Canis lupus familiaris: one gene and its partners. The protein of the gene in region 1 interacts with the protein of each later gene in a pairwise test. Links are inferred from orthologs where the notes say so. Each region holds a gene or a part of one and is shown on either strand. Other genes may lie near its edges.

Region 1 (7,383 bases):
TTTATTTATTATTATTATTTTTTTTTTTAGCTCTTACAACCTATGCTATTCTGCACGTGCTGCATACATACATGAGTTTTCTGGGTATATATACCCCAGGGGTGGAATTGCTGAGTCATAGAATATTTCACTTTTATTTTGTAATGCCAAACTAATTATAAACTAGCTGGATTTTTGCTTTTGTGGTATGCTTGTTCATGTACTTTCCCCACTTTTTTTAGGGATGTCTGTTATAGTAAATTAAGTTGCAAATGGAAATCAGTAGGAATTAAAGTACAGTCTCATTTTCATCAGATCACAAATCTATAAATATAAGATTATTTTTAGAGAATTGATTAGTATTATTTTACTTTATTATTATTTAAGTTAAATAGAACCCCATGGAAAACTTAATATGTAAGTACATATTTATATTTGTAGATCCTTAGCTTCTTCTAAGAAATAGTTTTAAAAGCTTAAACTAATAGGGGCACCTGAGTGGCAAAGTCAGCTATGCATCCATCTCTTGGTTTCAACTCAGGTTGTGATTTCAAGGTCCTGAGATCGAGCACCATGTCAGATTCTGCACTCAGGGCAATCTGCTTGGGATTCTCTCTCCTTCTCCCTCTGCCCTTTATGTTTGTGCTCTCTCTCTCTCTCTAAAATAAATAAATAAATCTAAAAAAAATCAAAAGCTTAAAACTAGATTGACTATTTTCTAAAACCAATGTTATTCCTGCCTCTTAACATCAGTAATATGAATTGTAATATAAAGCAATGAACTTTGATAAAAAATTTTTCGGTTGGAAATACATTAAGGTAGAATGGAAAAACAAAAAAATAGAGGAAAAATCACCCTCACCCAGGTAAATACATCTATCTGCAGACCTTTGTTAATACTGTAATATACAATTTATGTTTTTTGCAAAAATGAGATCCTAATGCATATTTCGTAACGTTTTTTTTCATTTATTGTACTTAGAAGTTTAAATATTTTCATTTGTTTTCATTGTAACAGACCTGTAGCAGGGCTTTGGTTGGCGCTTAAAGAATAAACTAATCTAAACTTCTATGACAGTAAAGTTCCTAGGGACTGTGTGTGTAGGGAACTAAACAAAACCAGCAAGCCGTGCTGATCACTCTAGTGGTGGTTACATGCTAAACTCTTGCAAGTGCTTTGTGTGGCTATCAACATTGGCATTTTTTAGTATAAACTATTAAATTCTACATGAGTAAATACACACTTTTATGTATACAACTTATAAACACCTGAATATTCTTTTATTTCACATCTTGTATTGATATATTCTGTTAAACTGTTATCATCCTTATGTATTTATAGTTCTGAAATCTTGACCATTAGTACTATGAGAAAAGTATTCATGATACGTATTAATATTGCCAACTTTGGGACTGTAATCTTTTCACATTTGCTTTGCAGTAATCTCCTAAATTAAAAATCAGTTCTCAATAAAATATTTATAAACCAAATATGAGTTGCCAGGTCATAATTCAAGTATTCATACTTTTCCATTTAGAACTCTTGGAGTATACGATGCAGCAGAAGCAGTCTCAGATGCTGGAGATGCAGGTGGAGCTCAGTAGCGTTAAGGACAGAGCAGCAGAACTGCAGGAACAGCTGAGTTCTGAGAAAATGGTGGTTGCTGAACTGAAGAGTGAACTTGCACAAACTAAACTGGAACTAGAAACAACACTCAAGGCACAACATAAGCACCTGAAGGAATTAGAGGCGTTCAGGTGTGTCAAGCTTCCTTATTATAAGCCTGGATCAGTGAAGGAGTTGGATTAATTTTGTCATAGACGTTGTGCAGGTCTTATAAAAGCATAACATTATACATAATGTGTAAATAACCTGAAACTTTGTTATTTATAGGAAAAACCACAGTGGTGAGGAAAAATTCTAAATTTTTCCAAATAATAAATTCATGACTAGGCATTGGCATATTCCCTGCTGTGAGTTCAGTTCTGTTGAAGACTTACTATTGTATAAGATACATAATTTTGACTTCTGTTTTACCATCAAGCAATTTGATATTTATGATCTCGATAGAATTTGTGGTTCATTTACCTACTACGTACAAAATGTTTTAAAATGCTTGTAAATTGTTGGTGTAAATAATGAGATACTGTGCTTGCCAAGAACACATTACAAGGACAGTCATTCTTTATTTTGAATGATGGTGATACAGTAAAAGACATTTTCAGTAAAAGACAAAGGAAAATTTATTAATGTTATTTGTAAAAATAAATTATTTACAGTGATAAATAATAGTTAATAGTTGCATTACTAGAAACAGTTAATTTGAAGTAAACCATAGTCAAAAATCTTTAATCTGTACATGGCTTATATTTTCCTGTTAGCTAGTTTATAATATGCTTCCACTGTTTAGTGGAAGCTGTCTCTTTCTCTCAATATAAACTTGGTCAAAGTAATTTTATTAAAGTCCATTGTCTCTGATTTAGGTTGGAAGTTAAAGATAAAACTGATGAAGTACATTTGCTTAATGACACATTAGCAAGTGAACAGAAAAAATCCAGAGAGCTCCAGTGGGCTTTGGAGAAAGAAAAAGCCAAACTGGGACGCAATGAAGAGCGGGATAAAGAAGAACTTGAGGTATTGTTACCTTTTTCTTTAAATGCCTGTGGAAAATCCGGAACAACAGAGGAAGAGAGAGTCTGGAGACCTTTCCTCTTTCTAAAACATCAGATTTTAGACATGTTAGATTCCTTATGAGGTCAGTAAGTTGTTCACCACTCTGAAAGACTGTTCTGTTGTCTACAGGAAGTGCTAAGAGTGGGGTGCATTTTTGCTGTGCTACATCTAGGAGTATGTACAGACTATTCTGCTACAATGTGTGTTTTGGGAATTTGAGTTCTGTGCATATACAATTTGATGGTGGGGGGGGGCATCCATTTCAGTTTAATGCAGAGTAGTTTTAGTTCCTGTTTTCCCCTAGGGATAGGGAATAGTGACACCTCTCTGGCAGCAGGAGCCCTTACTACCATATTTTTAAAAATTTAAAATGAGTCCTGTCACTCTGAACTGTCTTCGAAAGAGGCCCACCCTAGCTTTGCACAGCTCACAGCTCAGGGCAGGTTGTACTGCACATACAGTGCCCACTTCCGTCCATACATGGTACTCACTAGCTGTATGCTAAAAAACTACGTAGCTGACATTTCTGCCCTATTACTTTTGTTTTGCTGGGGTTTTTTGAATGTCCATCTTGGTAGCCTCCTAGCATAGTAAGCTCTTTACCTAAAGAACGTGATATCCCCTTGGGTACTGATTACTGTTTTTTATCATTACAAATTTGTGTAAGTTTTGAGTAGTTTGTCCCTAAACCTGCTTTCCCCATAAGCCATATTATTTTCAGTGTGTGACATTGGACAACATGAGGCTTTTCAGGAATTCATATCACAATATATTGGAAATATTTGTATTTTTAAAGGGTATTGTTTTTAGAAAGAATATACACTGCTTCATATTCCTTGACTAAATATGATTAATATTTGGAGAGAAAGTATTATTTAGCTTACCTGTCTTTTGTTTATATTCTTTGATGAAAATCATCTGGCTGTCCAAATAATTATGCTCTAACCACTGAAAATTTAAGTTAATAAACTGGATAATCAGTTCTATTACCAAATACTACCATCTTAATATTAATAAAGTATAATTATACTGACAAAGGACTTTTAATGATATTAACAAATTCTTAAATTCAACTTTCTCCTATAAGGATTTGAAATTTTCACTTGAGGGTCAGAAACAAAGGAATATCCAGCTAAATCTACTGTTGGAGCAACAGAAACAACTACTAAATGAATCACAGGAGAAAATAGAATCACAAAGAGTGCTACATGATGCCCAGTTATCAGAAGAACGAGGTCGAAACTTAGAGCTTCAAGTACTTCTTGAATCTGAGAAAGTTCGAATACAGGAAATGAGTAGTACCCTGGATAGGGAGCGGGAATTGCATGCTCAGCTGCAGAGCAGTGATGATAGTGGGCAGCCTCGGCCTTCCCTACCCTCTGAGGACCTCCTTAAAGAGCTACAGAAACAGCTAGAGGAGAAGCACAGTCGCATAGTAGAATTGTTAAATGAGACTGAGAAATATAAACTGGATTCTTTGCAAACAAGACAGCAGATGGAAAAGGATAGGCAGGTTCACAGGAAGACATTGCAGACAGAACAAGAGGCCAACACTGAAGGACAGAAAAAAATGCATGAGCTCCAGTCCAAAGTAGAAGATCTTCAGCGCCAGCTGGAAGAGAAAAGGCAACAAGTTTATAAGTTAGACCTTGAAGGAAAGCGACTACAGGGAATTATGCAGGAATTCCAGAAGCAAGAACTAGAACGAGAAGAAAAACGAGAAAGTAGAAGAATTCTCTATCAGAATCTTAATGAGGTAAATTAACACTGTATTAAAATGTTTTTTGAGATAGCACTACAGCCCTTTGAACATACACTTCTGCTATTGGATTGAATTACTTAAATAATTATGAACAAATGATTTAAAAAGGAGATTCATAGAAGCTTATTTGGAGTATAAACCATAATTGTGTTGATTCGCTGTTCATTGATACTTACTGCTTTCTCTTTTTCTGTTGAAAATTGCTAGCCAACTACATGGAGTTTAACTAGTGATCGAACTAGAAATTGGGTTCTTCAACAGAAAATAGAAGGAGAGACAAAGGAATCAAGCTATCTTAAACTGATTGAAATGAATGAAGGAGGAACTGGCTGTAATCATGAATTAGAAGTGATCAGACAAAAGCTTCAATGTGTGGCTTCAAAACTACAGCATCTGGCCCAGAAAGCCTCCAATAGGTTAGATTTTTTTTTTTCTCTTGACCCTTAGAGATGGCATTCTTCTACACAAGCTGGGTAAAACCTGCCCCTCAGTAATAGCTAGCCAGCGGGGCAATGTTCATTGAAATTGTAAAGTTACTGCATGTTCACATTAGGAGATGGTATTCTTTAACAAAACTCTACCTATAAACAAATATCTCAGCACCTTAAGTCCTGGAAAGAGAATACTCAGTGTGAGGGAGAAAACAAGTAGAGTGTCACCTGATCTGTCAAGTTTGTGCTAGTCAACACCACTAATTGAGAAAGATCTGTTTTGACTTTTTGTCTTTTTCCTTGAAGACTACAGTTTGAAACAGCAGATGATGAAGACTTCATTTGGGTTCAGGAAAATATTGATGAAATTATTTTACAACTGCAAAAATTAACCGGCCAGCCAGGGGAAGAGGTAAAACTTTTAAAAACTCTTTATAAGATATCAATAACAAAGATTTAATGGAGCTATGTGAATCATTTGAAACTGGCACTGTATTTTCTAAAGAGTTTTAATTTTGTCTTTTAATTTAAATATTAATATTTGTTCTTCCCTAACAGACAATAATGAAAATTTGAGGGGAAATTAATTTTCATTATCATTGTTGAATAACTATAGTGGCATTTTATTGTATTATGATAATTAAGTTTCAAGATTATGATAATCAAGTCTGGCTTATCTCACCACTCTCAAAACCACCCACAGAATGCCACCATTGTCTTCATAGTTAACTAATCTGATGAATCTTTTCATTCCCTGTCTTTTTAATTTTTTTGTAGCATTTGATACTTTTGACCTCTCTCATCTTAAAAACCTCCTTTTTTTACCTTTTGTGACAGTATATTCTCAGTATATTTTGTGACCGTATATTCTCAGTATATTTCTTCCATTTCTTTCATCAGTCACCTTCATGAATTCCTCTTCCTCCTATCCTGATCCATTTTTTTTCCTCTGTGAAAGCTCATTTATTCCCACAGCCTGAGTTCTCAGTAGACGTATTTATTGAACAAATACTTACATAAGGCATGTGTTATGTGCCAGTTACTACCCTGGGTTTTGGGCTACAATGAATAAATGTGATAACGATCTGACCACTTAGATCTCTATCTTCTAGTGGTCTGTGGTTCTAGTCTATACCTCTATCCTGTGATCCAGATTTATATTTTCCATTAGTTACAGGAACTCTTTCTCTGGGGAAATGCGCCTCATAGTGACCCCTTAGGAACCTCACAGGCACATTCTAAACTGAGCATCTTCTTTTTTTCCTCCTTCTGTCCCCAACCCATGTTTCTGGTCCTGATAGAGCCCACTTTGGGAATTTGGAAGTCACCCTAGACTACCTTCCTTCACTCTCACTTGTGTATCCTAGTAGTAATGAAGTCCTGTGCTTTTACTTCCTAAATATCCCACGTGCCCTTAGTCATTGCCTTTATTCAGGCTTCCAGTATTTCTCACCTAAACTATTGTAATGACTTCCTGATGTGTCCACCTGACACCAGGATCTATCTTCCCTAATTTACTGTACTTCGCATGCTGCTAGCAAAGGAATTTTTTTTAAGATTTTATTTATTTATTTATTTGAGAGAGCATGAGCAGGAGGTGGGCAGAGGGAGAGGGAGAGGGAGAAGCAGACTCTCTACTGAGCAGGGAGCCTGACACAGGCTCGATCCCAGGACTCTGGAATCATGACCCAACCCAAAGGCAGATGCTTAACTGACTGGGCCACTCATGTGCCCCCAAAGGAATATTTTAAGACATAAATTTTGTTTGTAGCACACTCTGAAAGCCTTTAGGGCTCTCTGCTGCCTCCATTTAGGTCTATTATCTATAAAGTGAAGGCAGCCTTTACTCTAACGTAACCAAGCAACCTGTAGCTCCTGAAAAGCAACACACTCTCCAACAAAACCCTTGTGCCTTTACACATGCTATTCCTTCTGCTTAATATGCTCTTCCCTATCTTCTTTCCTACCTATGAAATGCTTCCTAGTTATTTAAGACTCAGTTCAAGCACCACTTCATCATGAAATCTGGTGTTCTCAGCGTCTGCTCACATGTTGATGTGCATTGTTCATAAACATTTGTGCTTACACGACCTTAGTACCATTTTCTCTTTCTAGCCTGGTTTAGTGTCCCCTGGTACTTCTTGTGGCTCGTTGACTGAAAGACTGCTAAGACAAAATGCTGAGCTGACAGGACATATCAGCCAACTGACAGAAGAAAAGAATGATTTGAGAAATACAGTTATGAAGCTAGAAGAACAAATCAGGCGGTATCGACAGATAGGAGCTGGCAGAGATTATGTACGTCTGATTTTAGTGTGACCATGTTAGAAATATTGCTGAGTTACAATTTCTACTCTCTAGTTTCAATTTTTAACTCTAATATAAAAATATTAGATATCTGATTCTTAGTAAGATCATTGAAAAATGGTAGAGAGATGACAATAATAATGATAATAATAATAATAGATATCATTTATTGGGGGCCTTCTCTGGGCCAGATCCTGGGTTCTGTACATTCAGAATCTTTAATCCACATT
Region 2 (6,848 bases), on another chromosome or scaffold:
TCCAAACCCCCGGCCACGCGATTACAGAACCCGGAGTTCCAGAGCCCTCAGCCCCGATCTGAGGGCTAAGGTAAGAGGAGGGAGGAGAGAAGATCGTCTAAAAGTTTATGCCATTCCCACCAGAGGAAAAATAGGGGCTGTTCACCAGGGGCCCGCCAGCCGTCGAGCCGAACCTGGAAGAGAGAGAAGACGGACCTCATGACGGGACTCCTGGGGTTGGCGGAGATATTGGGAGAAGAAGTGCGTTGTCTTATGGCTGTCGGGGACCGGGAAGGCTGTGACAGGCTTGGAGGCTAAATGCTCAGCATCATTAAAAAAAAAAAAAAAAAAAAAAAAAAAAAAGCTTTGGCTCTGGGAAAATAAAATACTGTAAGGATACAACTGGAGGACAGTTAAGAGCTTCCAAGGCCACTTCCTTAGATCCGAGAGGGCCTAGCGGGCTGCAGGGACTGCCTCCTTGGGCCCAGCGCTGTCCCCATCTCCAGGACCGCACAACAGGGGGCCTGTCTGCACCTGAGCACCTCGCCAGCCCTTCGACCTGCCCGGGAAGACACGTGTGTCCCCCAGGGGGTCCCCAGCATCACGGGACTCAGGGTCGGGTCCCAGGGTGAGCCCCAGAGTCTGCACGGTCCCGGGGCTGCCTGTCCCCTTATGGGTGCTAAGCTGAACCCGTTTCCCTATTTTAGCACCTGAGCCCAAGCACCCTGACCCCTGCCAGGCCCCCCAGGGAAGGCATTTGAGAGGCGCACCTTCCCGCGGGGAAAGATGACACCTGCCCACCCCCACTCTGCCTGGGCTCCAGGGCTGCTCACGCCTCATGGGGGCCCCAACGGCAGCTCCCCCGTGACTCGGCCTGACCTTGCCCCATGGGACCAGCTACTCGCACGGCCCTACAGCAATTTCGTCCTGTCCCGTCCACAGGGGAGCCGGGCTCCGTACACACCGCAGCAGGGCACCCGGCCACACGGAGTCTGACCCCGGGGTTCTCGGGCCTTCCTGCGGCTGGTGCTCAGAGCAGGAGACAATCGCGAATTAATGAAAGAAAAAAGAAAAAAAAGGGGGGGGGGGGGGAGAGAGGGTGAGGGAGGGAAGAAGCGATGGGAACAAACCGGCGCCCTGAGGGGCTGGGGCAAGCTGGGCTTCGGGTTAGTTTGATTCGCTTTTCACTAAGTAAATCCCAAGAGAGCGGGGACGATATCCGCCTGGTGTGCAGCCCAGGACCTGGCACGAGGAGGGGCCTCTGCTGGCGCCCCCCTCCTCACCCCCAGCCCTTCCTCCCTCTGCCCCAAACTCACACTCAAAGGAACTGATGGAGACTCAGGTCGGGCCAGGACGCCCCGGATTCTGTGCTGGTTTATGAAACAAAAACTGGAACCCGCACCTCAGCCTAATAACCATCGGTAATGAATCACTGGGGACACGCCTGACCGCTGATGCCACGTCCCCGCGCAGCCAGGCCACCCGGCGGGGGGGTGGGGGATGCTCTGGGGGGCTCACCTGCCCGGGGCCTGGTCTGCACACGACACTCGCCAGAGTGTCAGAGGGAGCCGGGGGTCCTGGGGGCGAGGGGCATCAGGGAAGGCTTCCTGGAGGAAGAGCACCAGCGCCCTGGCCTGGGGCATGGTTGCCGGCAGCAGCCTCCCCGCTGGCACTGCCTGTGCCACTAGGACCTGTGCTCCTTTCACCCTCGAGCTTGTTATGTGTGGGAGGTAAGGGCATGGTAATGGATGGGGCAGGGAGGGGGGAAGGTGAGTGGGAAGGGAGGGGGTGAGGGGGCGGGGGAGAGGCAAGGGAGGGAAGAGGACAGGAGGAGCGGGGGGGGGGGGGGGGGGGGGGGGGGAGCAGAGGAGGAGGGGGAGGGGTGGGAGAGGAGGAGCTGGAGGGAGTGGGGGAGGAGGGAATAGGGGGGCAAAGGGGGTATGGAAGCGGGGGTAGGGGGTGTTGGACCATGACAAAGAGCCAAGAGCTCACAGAGAGAGGCCAGGAGGGGTAGGGGGGCCGCCTCATCCCCGGAGCCCTGCTCCTCCCACCGGCCTCTCCCCTGCCCCTGCCCGTCCCCCAGCCACGCCATCCCCGACGCCCTCATCCCCCGTCCCCCCAATGGCCTCGAGTGGTTCCCCCAGCCCTGCTCCCCCCACATCCTCCAGGAAATGCCTCCTCCTCTGCCCCCCATGCCCCGCCCCCCTACAGCAGCCCAGCGGGGTAGGCCTGCACCCCTGCCTGAGCCCCGCTCCTGGTGCAGACTCGGTGCAGGCCACCTCACCCCCACCCGGGGAAGTTTCACCAGCTCCCCAGGGCCTGACCCGACGCCTGGCCGTGCCCCCCAGGCCCTGCTGCCCCTGCTCCCGCGGCCACTCCCCCTCCTCCCCCCCCCAGGGCTCCGGCTGCAGGCCCACCTCCCACCTCGGGGCCACTACCCCGACGCACAGCTCCCCTATGTACCTGTCGCTTCATTCAGACCCAGCTCCGGAGGTGGCCCTCCCTCATTCTCCGTCCTCCCCCGGCCCCTGCCTTCCTTTCCTGCTGCCTTATTGCTCCCCGTGAAGGAGACCAAGAAGGCCTTTTGCCTCGCTCCTTCCTTCCCTCCAGGAAGCGCTGCCCACGACCAGTCATGCTCTTGGGGGAGCATGCGGCCTGCGCCGCGCCCCTTCCCTGGCGTCCCCAGCCCCTTCGGCCACCGCCCACCCTGCCGACTATGCCTCCCCCATGGCACCATCCTCCAGCGCCCAGCATCTCTGCCCGCAGCCAGGGCCCGGGTGGGGGCCCTCCTCCCCTCCTTCCCCGCGGTGGTGCTTTTTTTTTTTTTTTTTTAAATTTTTATTTATTAAATTTTTATTTATTTATGATAGTCACACAGAGAGAGAGGATGGGGGAGAGAGAGAGAGAGAGGCAGAGACATAGGCAGAGGGAGAAGCAGGCTCCATGCACCGGGAGCCCGACGTGAGATTCGATCCCAGGTTTCCAGGATCGCGCCCTGGGCCAAAGGCAGGCGCTAAACCGCTGCGCCACCCAGGGTGCACCAGGCTGCAGGCCCCGGGCCTCCCAGTCAGAGCGTTTAACACCCAAACCCAACCTCCCTTTCTAATCCTATTTTCCACCTTTTTAGGGGTAAATCAAATACTTCAAGCACACACCTCTGCTGCCCCAGCCTCATGCTTGTGTCCATCCGTGTGAGGGCTGCACCCCCCTGTGAGGGCTGCACCCCCCTCCCCTCCTCCCACGGCTGCTCCCTGGGGCCTCGCAGGTCCACCCCCCCCCCCAAACAGCGGGTCATGCCACCGCCCCGGGCCCCGGGGTGCTCCCCACATCTCAGCCACTCAGTCTCTGAAGGGAGGAACCTCGTCCTAGTCCGCTGTGGGTTCCCTGCAGGCTACATCCCCATCAACCACAGGACCCGACACAGAGCTTGGGGGGCAGGGGGTGCAGATGACATGCACCCTCGTCTGCGGTAGGAGAAGCAGAAAAGATGGGGAGGGAGGAAGGAGGGAGGAAAAAGAGAAAAGGAGAAAGAAAATGGGCTGTGGATTTGGGGCTCAGGTGAGGCCACCGACCCCACCCCAGGAACATTTCCCAGACACTTCAGCAATGAAGCCATCTGAGGGCCCCGATGGGTAAGAAACCCATTCACCTGTGTTTCCCTCAGCTCTTCCCAAGCATCCTGACCACAGAAACCTCTCGCTAACGTATCGTCCTTTTACAAGACGCAGGACTGAGAGGGTGAGGGTCTGGGGGTGCCTGGGGGGCACCACAGCGGGGGTCTGTGCGGGGACGTGGAAGGCTGGGGACCAACGGCCCTAATCCCGGCAGCGGAGTTTCCCAAGATTAGACACGCCTCCCCAGGGTGTGTGGGGACTGGGGTCCCCAGGGGGACCCCAGGTCCCGCCCTCCTCCCGGCCTCAAATATGAGCTGAAGGTTTGCAGGTGCGAGTGGGCGACCGCCGGCCTTTCATTTAGGACAACAGCCGTCGTGGAAAGTGTGTGTCGAGGTTTGCATCACCCGCGAAGCCCTGCCCCCGCTGCTGGGCCTGCTACACCCTCCGCAGGATGTGGGGGCGACTGGCCTGCGAGGGAGCTCAGGGTCCCCCGCGACGCAGGGAGCCCAGCAAACGGGCCTCGGGGCCTCAGCAGATGGGTCCTGCTCCACTGCCGGCCCCGCTGCAGGCCGAGTGCCCACGTCCACGGCCGCGTGGCTAGGATCCCCTGGGCCCGTGGCCCTGAGCAGCCTGGCCTGCGCACCAGCTCCCTCCGGCACCCATGGCTGGGGACAGGCCAGGGCCCCTCCCTCCCCAGGACCCTGCAACGCGAGAACCAGCTCCCCTCCCGGCCCTGTAGCTTCCCGCGAGCGAGGTGCACCCGAGGAGGGGGCTGAGGACTCACCCGTACGCCTGGGGGACCACGTACTGTGGCCCGTCTCCCGCCATCGGGGAAGGGTCGCGGGGATGGCTGCACAGCTTTGGAGGTGTCCTCTGAGGGTGCGGGTAGCCGGGCTGGACGAAGGGGATGTAGCTCAGCAGGGGGGCGTAGGAAGAGCGGAACACCTGCTGTCCCACCTGCTGTGGGCTGTACGGCGTCACCTGCAGGTCACAGACGAGAGGGGCCGCGTCCACCAGAGCCCGCTGCTTCCGAACCTCCGGGGCCTCGCTCGGACCCCCCAGCCTTAACCCCGGAGCGGCGGGCGTGCGGGAGGCCCTGCGAGGACTGTGGCGAAGCCCGAGCCTCCCCCCTGCGCCTGGCTGCCAAGGTGCCCAGGTCACCCGGGCCTCAGTTTCCCCGTTGGCAGGAGGGCGAACGCTCCCTCCGCGGCACGGACACCGAGTTGGCCGACAGCAGCCTGATGAACAGCAAATGGACTTTATTTCCGTTCTCTGCGCTGCCCTCCCCACCCCATCCCCTGCCAATAGCTGCCCCTGAGAGCCCTCATTCATTTTTACCTAAAAAAAAAAAAAAAAAAAAAAAGGTCTGTTGAGATTTCTACAGCCCCGGCTTCGACCCAGCCCCCCGGTACTTGGGCCACCACCCACCAGCGGAGACTTGCGGCCACTTGAGCTGCGGCTGCCGCAAAGGGCGAGGAGCTGAAGGTGCACGCTCACGGTAACCGGTGTGGGTTGAGGTGGCCGCCTGGGGCCAGCGGCAGCGTCGTACAGCGGGATCCAGGCTCCATAGAGCTCAGCCCCCGCCCCCCGCCCCCCGGATCCGACCTCCACCAAGAGCCGGGGCCCCGGCGGTCTCATCGAGCGTCGTCTTCTCGGCCCTGGGACGGGGCTGGGCCAAATAAGCTGCTCCATAAACATGCGTTAAATGAAGGAGCACGAGAAAAAAGGAGGGGAGAGGGCAAAGAAGAGGCCACTCAGGGTCCGCTTGAATCCCTGCAATGATGGGGAGCTCGTTACTTTGCAGGCACTGTATTCTACAAACGTCAGAAGACCCTCTCCTGTACGGGGTGACATCCGTCCTCCCGCACGCTGAAGGGAGCTGCAGTCAAAGCGAGGGAAACTTCTGGACGTCGTCTTTAAAAGCAAGAGTCCGGTGTCCAAGCCGCCCGGGGACCCAGCACAGTGACAGCCCTCTCTCACCCTGCGGATCCTTCTCTAATTTAAAAAAAAAAAAAAAAAAAAAAAAGATCGCAAAGGCTGGGGCTTCTGGAGGGCTCAGGCCGTGCCAGGCCCGTGCGGCTTCTCTCCTTCCAGCCCCGGAGCTTGGGCGGCGGGAGCACGAGCCAGAGACGGAGGAGGCGGCTCAGGAGCTCGGACCTTGCAGGTAAGCGCTCCACGGGCTCCATGGGCTCCACGGGCGTGACTTGCAGTCGGACCCCTAAGGCCCACGCGGGCCCGGGGCCCGTGCGATTGCTCCCGCTGAGCCCCCTCCTACCCCAGGCTGCAGGTAGGACTCGCGGATGCTGGACGTGGGCCCCCAAACGCCCAAGATGACGCGCGGACCATGACAAAGAGCCAAGAGCTCACAGAGAGAGGCCAGGACGGGCCCCCCCCGGGGACGGGTGCCTTGGCGGACGGGCAGGGAGGCCCCCCCGGGTCTCCTGGGAGGTGGGATGGTCCGAGGACCGCGCAGGGGGATGCCCGGGGGCTCCCGCGGGCATCCTGGGGGACGTGTCCCCAACCGCACACAGCGGGTGAACCCCGTGATGCAGCATGCACGGCTCTGGAATCGTCTCCAGGATGCGCTTCGCCGGCAACGGCAGTGACAGAGCCACATGCCCGGAAAGCTACATTCGTGTAAAGTGTGTGTAGATAGATTCGGCCGGAAGGACCCTGCGGGAACCGGCGACAGAGCCGCCTCTCCAGGGTGGTTTGTCTCTGTTTGGAACCAAGGGCCTCCAGCGCTTTCTCAGACAGACGCGGGCACTTGCATGGGGCCGTCGGGCCCCCCTCTCCCCGAGCCGGGGTCACTCTCTGTGGGCCGGGTAGGGGTGACTGCTGAGGCTCCCAGGGCCAGGCTGGGCCTCAGCTCCGCACTCCCCGAGGACGCAGAGCCCTCACTGCGACACGAGCAGCCCCGGGCCTCCGGGCTCTTCTCTGCTTTCTGGAACATTCCAACACAGCTCAGGTCAGAGGTGCGGTTTGCTCCCTGCCGGGCAGGAGGAGGCCCCCAGACGGTGAGTCTGAGTGTGGGGGTCTGTCCACCCGCGGTGGAGCCACGCTGGCTGGGGCCCTGCAGCCGGACCCGAGGCCGAGGCCGCCCCCATCCTGCAGTTTCCGTGCTGGAGTCCACTCCTGGACGTGGGGGGGGTGGGGCACTCGGCCGAGCAGCCCACAGACAAGACGCGCGTGCGATCAAGTCTCAGTTGCAGATGAACCAGCCAGTAATTTGATTTTTACTGCGCTTCCGGCCCG
Region 3 (7,383 bases), on another chromosome or scaffold:
ATCTTAGGGTGTCACACACTTGTAACACTTTAAAAAACTGATACATTACAGTCATTAGGATGGATTCTGTTAAGAAAAAAAAAAAAAGTGTTAGGGAGATAGTAGAGAAATTAGAATCCTCTGCAGTGCTGTTGGGAACATAAAGTCCTTCAGCCACTGTGAAAAAACTAAACATGGAATTACTATGTGATCAGTAGTCCCACTTCTGAGTGTATATACAAAAGAGTTTAAAGAAGGGACTCAAGTTGATAGTTGGACACTCATGTCCATAGCAGCATTATTCACAATGGCCAAAATGTAGCAGCAACACAAGTGTCCATTGACAGACAAATGGCTAAACCAAATGTGGTATGTGTGTGCGGTGGAGTAGGTAGTATTCAACCTTAAAAAGGAAGGGCGTTCTGACACAGGCTACCCCACAGATGAAGCTGAGGACATCACCCTAAAGGAAATAAGCCGGTCACAAAAAGACAAGGACTGTATTATTCCACTTCTATAAGGTACCTAGAGTAGTCTAATTCATAGAAATGGAAGAAGGATGGTTGCCAGTAGTTGGGTTGGAGGGGAGAAGAGAACTTTTGTTTAATGGGGACAGTTTCAGTTGAGGAAGATGAAAAAAGTTCTGGACATGGATGGTGGTGTAGTTGTACAACAGTGTGAACTGTAAACTTGAAAACGATTACAGTGATAAATTTTATGTTATATGAATTTTACCACTTTTTAAAAAATCTGATGTATAGGAAAAAGTATGTATAAAAGAGGAATAACAATGGAACAAACACCCACGTTACCACCACCCAGGTCAAGAAATAGAACTCTCTAGAAACCCCCTTGCCCCTCCTCCCCTTTCTAGTCCCTTTCCCTGTCCAGAGGTAGCTACTCCCCTGACGCATTGTTATCATTTCCCTGCTTTTCTTCGTAGTTTTAGCATCAATGTACACATCTCAAAACAACAGAGTTTAATTTTGCCTGGTGTTTGAACTTTACATACGTGGAATCATACAGAATGTATTCCATGGTAATGGCTTCTTCCATTTAACATAGTTTGGGAAGTTTATCCATGTCGTTGCATGAAGCTATAGTCCATTCATTTATTTTAACTCCTGTTTATTTATTTTTATATTTTTTTAACTCCTGTTTAATAGCCCATTAGACTATTAGACTGAGCCATATCAATTGTGGGGGCCTTTTAAAGTAAAATATAGTAATTGTTGAATATCAGTTAATAAGGCTATGTTATAGCTTATATATTCTATTTATAGATATTTCTAGTTTGGGTCCCTTATATACGCATATATGGATATATATGTATATATGCATCTCCCCATTATACCTGCATGCATTTTTCCAGGGTAAGTTCTTAGGAGTATATTGCTAGAAGTTGCATATAAAGCGAAAGTGAATTTGGATCTCTACCTCACATCATACACAGAAATCAACTGGAAGTTGATTAAACGCCTTGATGTGAAAGCTTTGTGAGGGTAGCGTAGCAGAATGTGATGGGTGGAAGGGAGGATTTCTTTACTAAGATATGGGCCAAGATGCCTCCCCCCAACTCCAAACATTTCCCGACATCCTCCTCCACCCCTCATTCCAGGCGAGGTTAGCACGGTGCTCAAGCTGGATAACACGGTGGTGGGGCAGACATCCTGGAAGCCATGTGGCCCCAGCGCCTGGGACCAGAGCTTCACCCTGGAGCTGGAAAGGGTGAGCTAAGTTGGGGGATGGCAGGGCCTGGATCCAGGAGGAGGATCCAAATCCTCCTTGGGCAGTGCCAAATGATGGCACCCGTTCCTCTCCCTCCAGGCTCGGGAACTGGAGTTGGCCGTGTTCTGGCGGGACCAACGGGGCCTTTGTGCCCTCAAATTCCTGAAGTTGGAGGATTTCTTGGACAATGAGAGGCATGAGGTGCAGCTGGACATGGAGCCCCAGGGCTGCCTGGTGGCCGAGGTACAGCCCGACCCCTGACCCTATGAAAATACTTCTTGCATCTGCCTACTCGCGGTTTTCTAGAAAGGGAAGATATATGTGTTGGATTGGTCTCTGAACCTTGATAGAGAAATACATATAATTAGTTACTTCAGTGACACAACTTAAGCTGGGATTGGTTTTGTTTTAAGGGAAGAAATTAAGAAAAAAGAAAAGAAAAGAAAAGAAATTGCAAAATTTCACCAAGCCAAAAAAGAAAAGAAAAACCTGGTGGCACATCAAGGAGATTGCTGTCAGAGCCACAGTCGAGTAGAGAGAAATTCCTTCTACAGTGGTGTTAGGATTAAAGTCTAAATTGAGGTGTCCTGCATTTGGCACTAGAGACAAGTGTGCCATAGTGGGCTGGATCATTCTTGGTTGTCCTGTAGGGTGCTGAGCAGCATCCCCAGTTTGCACCCAGAGGGAGCCAGCACCACCCTCCCTCCAAGTTGTGACAATCAAAACGGTCTCTAGACATTGCCCTGTCCCCTGGTTGAGAGCCCATGTTCTAAATAACATTCCTAGCTGATCCCTTGTGGTGTGAGCCAAGCCCTGTCCTACTTGCTTTGCTGGCATTAACTTGTTAATCCTTACAATGACCCACTTCCACCCAACCCGAATCAGGAGGGATCGATTCAGGAGGGATCGTCATTAGTCACCTCTGACGGGGGAGGAAACAGAGGCACAGAGTAGGAAAGCCATTGGCCCCCTCATTCAGTCAAAATTTTCCTCAAAAATTCTTTAAGTGTGCCCCTAACACATACGTGTGCCCTGTTACATATCCACATCTCCATGTGGGAGTTCTGACATGATCTCATAATCGAGCCCCACTGAAGAAAAAGAGCAGAAGGGCCGGGCAGGGCAGTGACATTGCTCTTCCATTAGGAAGACCGGCCAGTACCAAGCAGGAATGGTGGGGGTGGTAGGGGAAGGGGGCAAATTCTGAGGCAAGCCTGCTGGCCCTCAACGTTCACTTGTAGCATTCTGTTCTATTTTTCCGCCTCCCCCAGAGTGCCAGTCAATAGAACTTTCTAGAGTTCTGTTGTCGATGAGCCTACAATAGTTGCATTCTGTTGTAGATGGGAATGTTGTATATGTCCACCGTCCAACATAGCAGCCGCCAGCCACTTAGAGCATGGCTAGTGTGACCAGGGACAGGGAACTAAAGTTTTCATGTTACTTAAAATTTTACTGAATTTAAATAGCCTTACGTGGCTAGTGGCGAGCGTATCAGACACACATAAAGTCACACAGTTCTGTGACTTTGGCGCCTTCTAGAAGATGCTTCGGAGTTGGGAGAATGCAGCTAGACTAGTGGCTTCCCCATACCAGCTGGAGGGCTTGTTGAAACACAGGTTGCTGAACCCCACACTTGTATTTCTGACTCCGTGTGTCCAGGCAGGGGCCTGGGTATCTGCATTTCTGGCAAGGCCCCAGGTGCTGCTGCTGGTCCAGGGCCCCACTTGGGGAATCATGACCCTAAATGATGTAGGACCTTGCTGGAGTTGCATGTACCTCTTGTTGGGTCAGGACCCCCCACCCCACCCCTAGAGGAGGTCTTGGTTGCCTGCTTCTTGACTTTCTAAGATGGCACTTCAGGAGGTGGCCCTACCAGGCACTGGATTGGTTTTCTAACCCCTTAATAAGTTACAACATCTTCATACTCTGTTTGGATGTGGAGCCACAATAATTGGAACCCGCAAAACATAAGGGTGTGCCTATCTACGCTCTCAGGGCTTCCCCACCACCTAGAGCTGGGAGTGAGTTCTTATCCACTGGCCCTTCTCTCCAGGTTACCTTCCGCAACCCTGTCATTGAGAGGATACCCCGGCTCCGAAGGCAGAAGAAAATTTTCTCCAAGCAGCAAGGTGAGGTAGTGGTCAAGGTAGGGAAGAAGCCAGGGGTCCCAGGAGTATCATGAAGGGTGACCCCCATCCCCTGTACCCCCCTCCACCCCTCCCCCAGGGAAAGCATTTCAGCGCGCTAGGCAGATGAACATTGATGTTGCCACCTGGGTGCGGCTGCTTCGAAGGCTCATCCCCAATGCCACGGCCACAAGCACCTTCAGCCCTGGGGCTTCTCCAGGCCCCGAGGTCCGCTCCACAGGGTAAGGAGGATGCTCTCTGAAGTCTAGGCTGTCCCTGGTTGCATGCCGGGGTGCTTGGTCCCACACACACCCTCCTCTCTTGGTCTGCAGTGATATATCTGTGGAGAAGCTGAACCTTGGGACTGCCTTGGATAGCTTACCCCAGAAGAGTCCTCTGGGTCCTCCTTCCAGCCCATCAAGCCTGGTGAGTGTTCCACTCCTTTCCCCCCACACCTGGATCTTCCAGGCTTCTCTACCCACTCAAGACCCAGACACCACCAGGAATTTCCCTGGGTCCCATATCTCTGCTAGAAGCAGGTGGTCGCATTCTCTATCCTGAATAAAAACATGATCTCAGGAGCCAGGCCACCTGGGTCCATGTTCCTGCAGTGTGACCCACGGCAAGCTGCTTCAACTTGCTGTGCTCTGTGCACTGGCCTGTAAAACAAGCATGTGTAAAACTCACTTCGAGGATAGAAGTCAGGATGGTGGTTTTCTCGGGGTGGGGTGGGGGGGTATCATTGATAGGAGGGAGATACGAGGGAGCCTGTTGGGGTCATGGCCATGTTGTGCCTCTTATTTATTTATTTATTTATTTTTAAATATTTTATTTATTCATGAGAGACCCACACAAAGAGGCAGAGACATAGGCAGAGGGAGAAGCAGGCTCCCTGTGGGGAGCCCGGTGCAGGACTCAATCCCAGGACACCAGGATCATGCCCTGAGCCAAAGGCAGACGCTCAACCACTGAGCCACCTAGGTGTCCTTATGTTGTGCCTCTTAATGTAGGTCAGAGATCAGCACGCCTTTTCCATAAAGGGTCATGGAGCCGATATTTTCGGCTTTGTGGGCCAGACTGTTTTGGTCACAGTGACTCAACGCCCTGGATACAGGGCGATCTCACATCCCTGAGATCATTGTAGAAAAAAGCTGTAGGGGATACATACATACACCAGTGGGCATGGCTGTGTTCTGGTTAAAGCTTTATGGATGGACACTGAACTTTATTTATTTATTTTTTAAAGATTTTATTTATTTATTCATGAGAGATGCAGTGAGAGAGGGAGAGGCAGAGGGAGAAGCAGGCTCCATGCAGGGAGCGTGATGTGGGATTGAATCCCGGGATTCCAGGATCACGCCCTGGGCTGAAGTGAAGGCAGGTGCCAAACCACTGAGCCACCCAGGGATCTCCACTGAACTTGGAATGTCCTATCACTTTCTCAGATCACAAAATATTACTCTCCTTTTGATTTTTCCCCCCAATCCCTTAAAAATGTAAAAGCTATTCTCGGCTCACGTACTGTACCAAACCTCATTTACCCACCCCCGCTGCGTGCAATGCATACCCAGATGGACATGTTTATAAGAGCAGGCCCCTTGGCCCAGCTCACATTTTATGCATTTTATACCTCATTTGAAAAAATAGGAAAAAAGAAGCAGGGGGGAAGCCTGGGTGTCTCAGCAGCTGGGCATCTGCCTTCAGCTCAAGGCATGATCCCAAGTCTGGGGATCGAGTCCCACATTGGGCTCCCTGAGGGGAGCCTGTTTCTCCCTGTGTCTATATCTCTGCCTCTCTCTGTGTCTCTCATGAATAAATAAATAAAAATCTTTAAAAAAATGATAGTATATGCTTCTGTATTTTATTTACAATAATATAATGAGATAGGTCATCAGGTGAGTTTGGCAAAACAAAATCCAAAAGTTTAATACCATCAAATGCCAGGCAGGGCACAGGGAGACAGGCATGTAGATTGTTGCATCTCCTTAGGAGGGCATAGCTGGTTGCCCTAAAAATGGACATCGTCTTGACCCAGGAGTTCCAATCCTGGACGCTCACACATGTGCGCATCCAGAAAGTTCACTGCAGCGGCTTTGTGTGGGCAAAAGTGGAAACGGCAACGTCCATCCATAGGAGAGCCAGTGCTAAGTAAATGACGAGGTGGGCTGTGACAAATGAAGCTGGTCTCCCAGTGCTGGGACAGAGTGGTTTCCATAACAGGTTGTCCAGTAGGGGAGGCAAGATTAGAATATTGTCAATAGCGGAAACAAGTGAAATGGAGCCTCTCCCATCACTTTTACTTGTGTGGGTATAGAATATGTTTAGAAAGGTACTCAGGAAATCATTGATGGTGGCTGGTTCTGGGGAGGGTGGCTGGGGCACGAGAGGCCTGTCTTTCCCACCAGCCACCTACTTGTACTGATTGCATTTCTAGAACTGTGTCTGTAGTAGATGATGATGAACCAGTCGTAATATGTTCCCATTCACCATGTATTTTTTTCTAAAATTTTATTTATTTACTGGGGGGGGGGTGCAGAGGAAGGGGGAGGGAGAGAGAGGAGACTCCCTTCTGGGCGCGGAGCTGGATACAGGGCGATCTCACATCCCTGAGATCACAACCTGAGCCGAAACCAAGAGTTGGACACTTAACTGACTGAGCCACCCAGTCCCCCCCACCCTCTTCCATTTACAATATGAATTTTGACTCTTTTCAAAGTTACATGCCCATGTGGTATAAAGAATTAAGTAGCTTTTAGGGCAAATACCCATAAAGGAAATATGTAGGTAAATGGTAAAATATAGCATGAAAAAAAAAGCAGTGAAAGGGGACAGGGAGTATGTGTGGGTATGGCAGGGAGTGGGGGGTCCGTTAGTTACTTAATATGATGGTCAGCTGACCACCTGTGAAGGCGACATCTGCATGAATGGCCTGAAGGAGGTAAGGGAGGAGCCGTGCAGATGTCGGGGTGGGGGGATTCCAGGTAGAGGGAATAGCCTATGCAAAGGCCCTGGGCTGGAAACGTGCTTGGTGTGTTCAGGGCGTGGGGGGAGGGATAGCGTGCCTGGAGGGCAGTGAGCAAGAGGGCAAGTGGAAGGAGAAGTGAGGTCAGAGAGGTGACGGGAGCCTCGGTGGCTATTGTGGTTATGGGTGCCTCTGACTTCCCTCTCTCTGCCACAGAGTTCCCCGATCCAGGAAACTACCACCACCCCGGAGCCGCCTTCAGAGACCCAGGAGACCCCAGGCCCCGCCCTGAGCAGGTGACACCCCTCCCCTGCTCACCACCCACCACCCCTGCCTGCTGTCCTTGTCCCCACCAGTGTCCTCTCTCCACAGCCCTCTGAAGAAGTCGCCCCTGACCCTCGAGGATTTCAAATTCCTGGCGGTGCTGGGCCGGGGTCACTTTGGAAAGGTGAGGCAGGGGGCAAGGAGTTAGGGGAACAGGGAGTTCCCGGGCTGACCATTAAGGTCATCGCTGCCCTTTGTGGTTCCAGGTGCTGCTCTCTGAATTCCGGCCCAGCGGAGAGCTGTTCGCCATCAAGGCTTTGAAGA

Evidence for each region.
Region 2: the proteins of AKAP9 (region 1) and C15H1orf94 interact in binary tests that used the Homo sapiens proteins (3 or more experiments, as listed by UniProt). The two-hybrid records come from large-scale screens. The link is inferred for Canis lupus familiaris from reciprocal best matches to the Homo sapiens genes AKAP9 and C1orf94.
Region 3: the proteins of AKAP9 (region 1) and PKN1 interact in a two-hybrid assay, tested with the Homo sapiens proteins (2 studies listed by BioGRID). The link is inferred for Canis lupus familiaris from reciprocal best matches to the Homo sapiens genes AKAP9 and PKN1.

The regions. Positions count from the first base shown.
Region 1 is NC_049235.1:17,677,297-17,684,679, forward strand, and holds part of AKAP9 (A-kinase anchor protein 9), read left to right. Parts: intron 1-1,517; coding exon 1,518-1,737; intron 1,738-2,463; coding exon 2,464-2,614; intron 2,615-3,740; coding exon 3,741-4,409; intron 4,410-4,622; coding exon 4,623-4,831; intron 4,832-5,152; coding exon 5,153-5,258; intron 5,259-6,961; coding exon 6,962-7,144; intron 7,145-7,383. UniProt on the Homo sapiens protein: Scaffolding protein that assembles several protein kinases and phosphatases on the centrosome and Golgi apparatus. Required to maintain the integrity of the Golgi apparatus. Required for microtubule nucleation at the cis-side of the Golgi apparatus.
Region 2 is NC_049236.1:7,726,405-7,733,252, forward strand, and holds part of C15H1orf94 (uncharacterized protein C1orf94 homolog), read right to left. Parts: intron 4,575-6,848; coding exon 4,378-4,574; intron 174-4,377; coding exon 98-173; 3' UTR 1-97.
Region 3 is NC_049241.1:48,563,234-48,570,616, reverse strand, and holds part of PKN1 (serine/threonine-protein kinase N1), read left to right. Parts: intron 1-1,597; coding exon 1,598-1,707; intron 1,708-1,806; coding exon 1,807-1,950; intron 1,951-3,760; coding exon 3,761-3,836; intron 3,837-3,933; coding exon 3,934-4,075; intron 4,076-4,165; coding exon 4,166-4,259; intron 4,260-7,011; coding exon 7,012-7,091; intron 7,092-7,167; coding exon 7,168-7,243; intron 7,244-7,325; coding exon 7,326-7,383. UniProt on the Homo sapiens protein: PKC-related serine/threonine-protein kinase involved in various processes such as regulation of the intermediate filaments of the actin cytoskeleton, cell migration, tumor cell invasion and transcription regulation.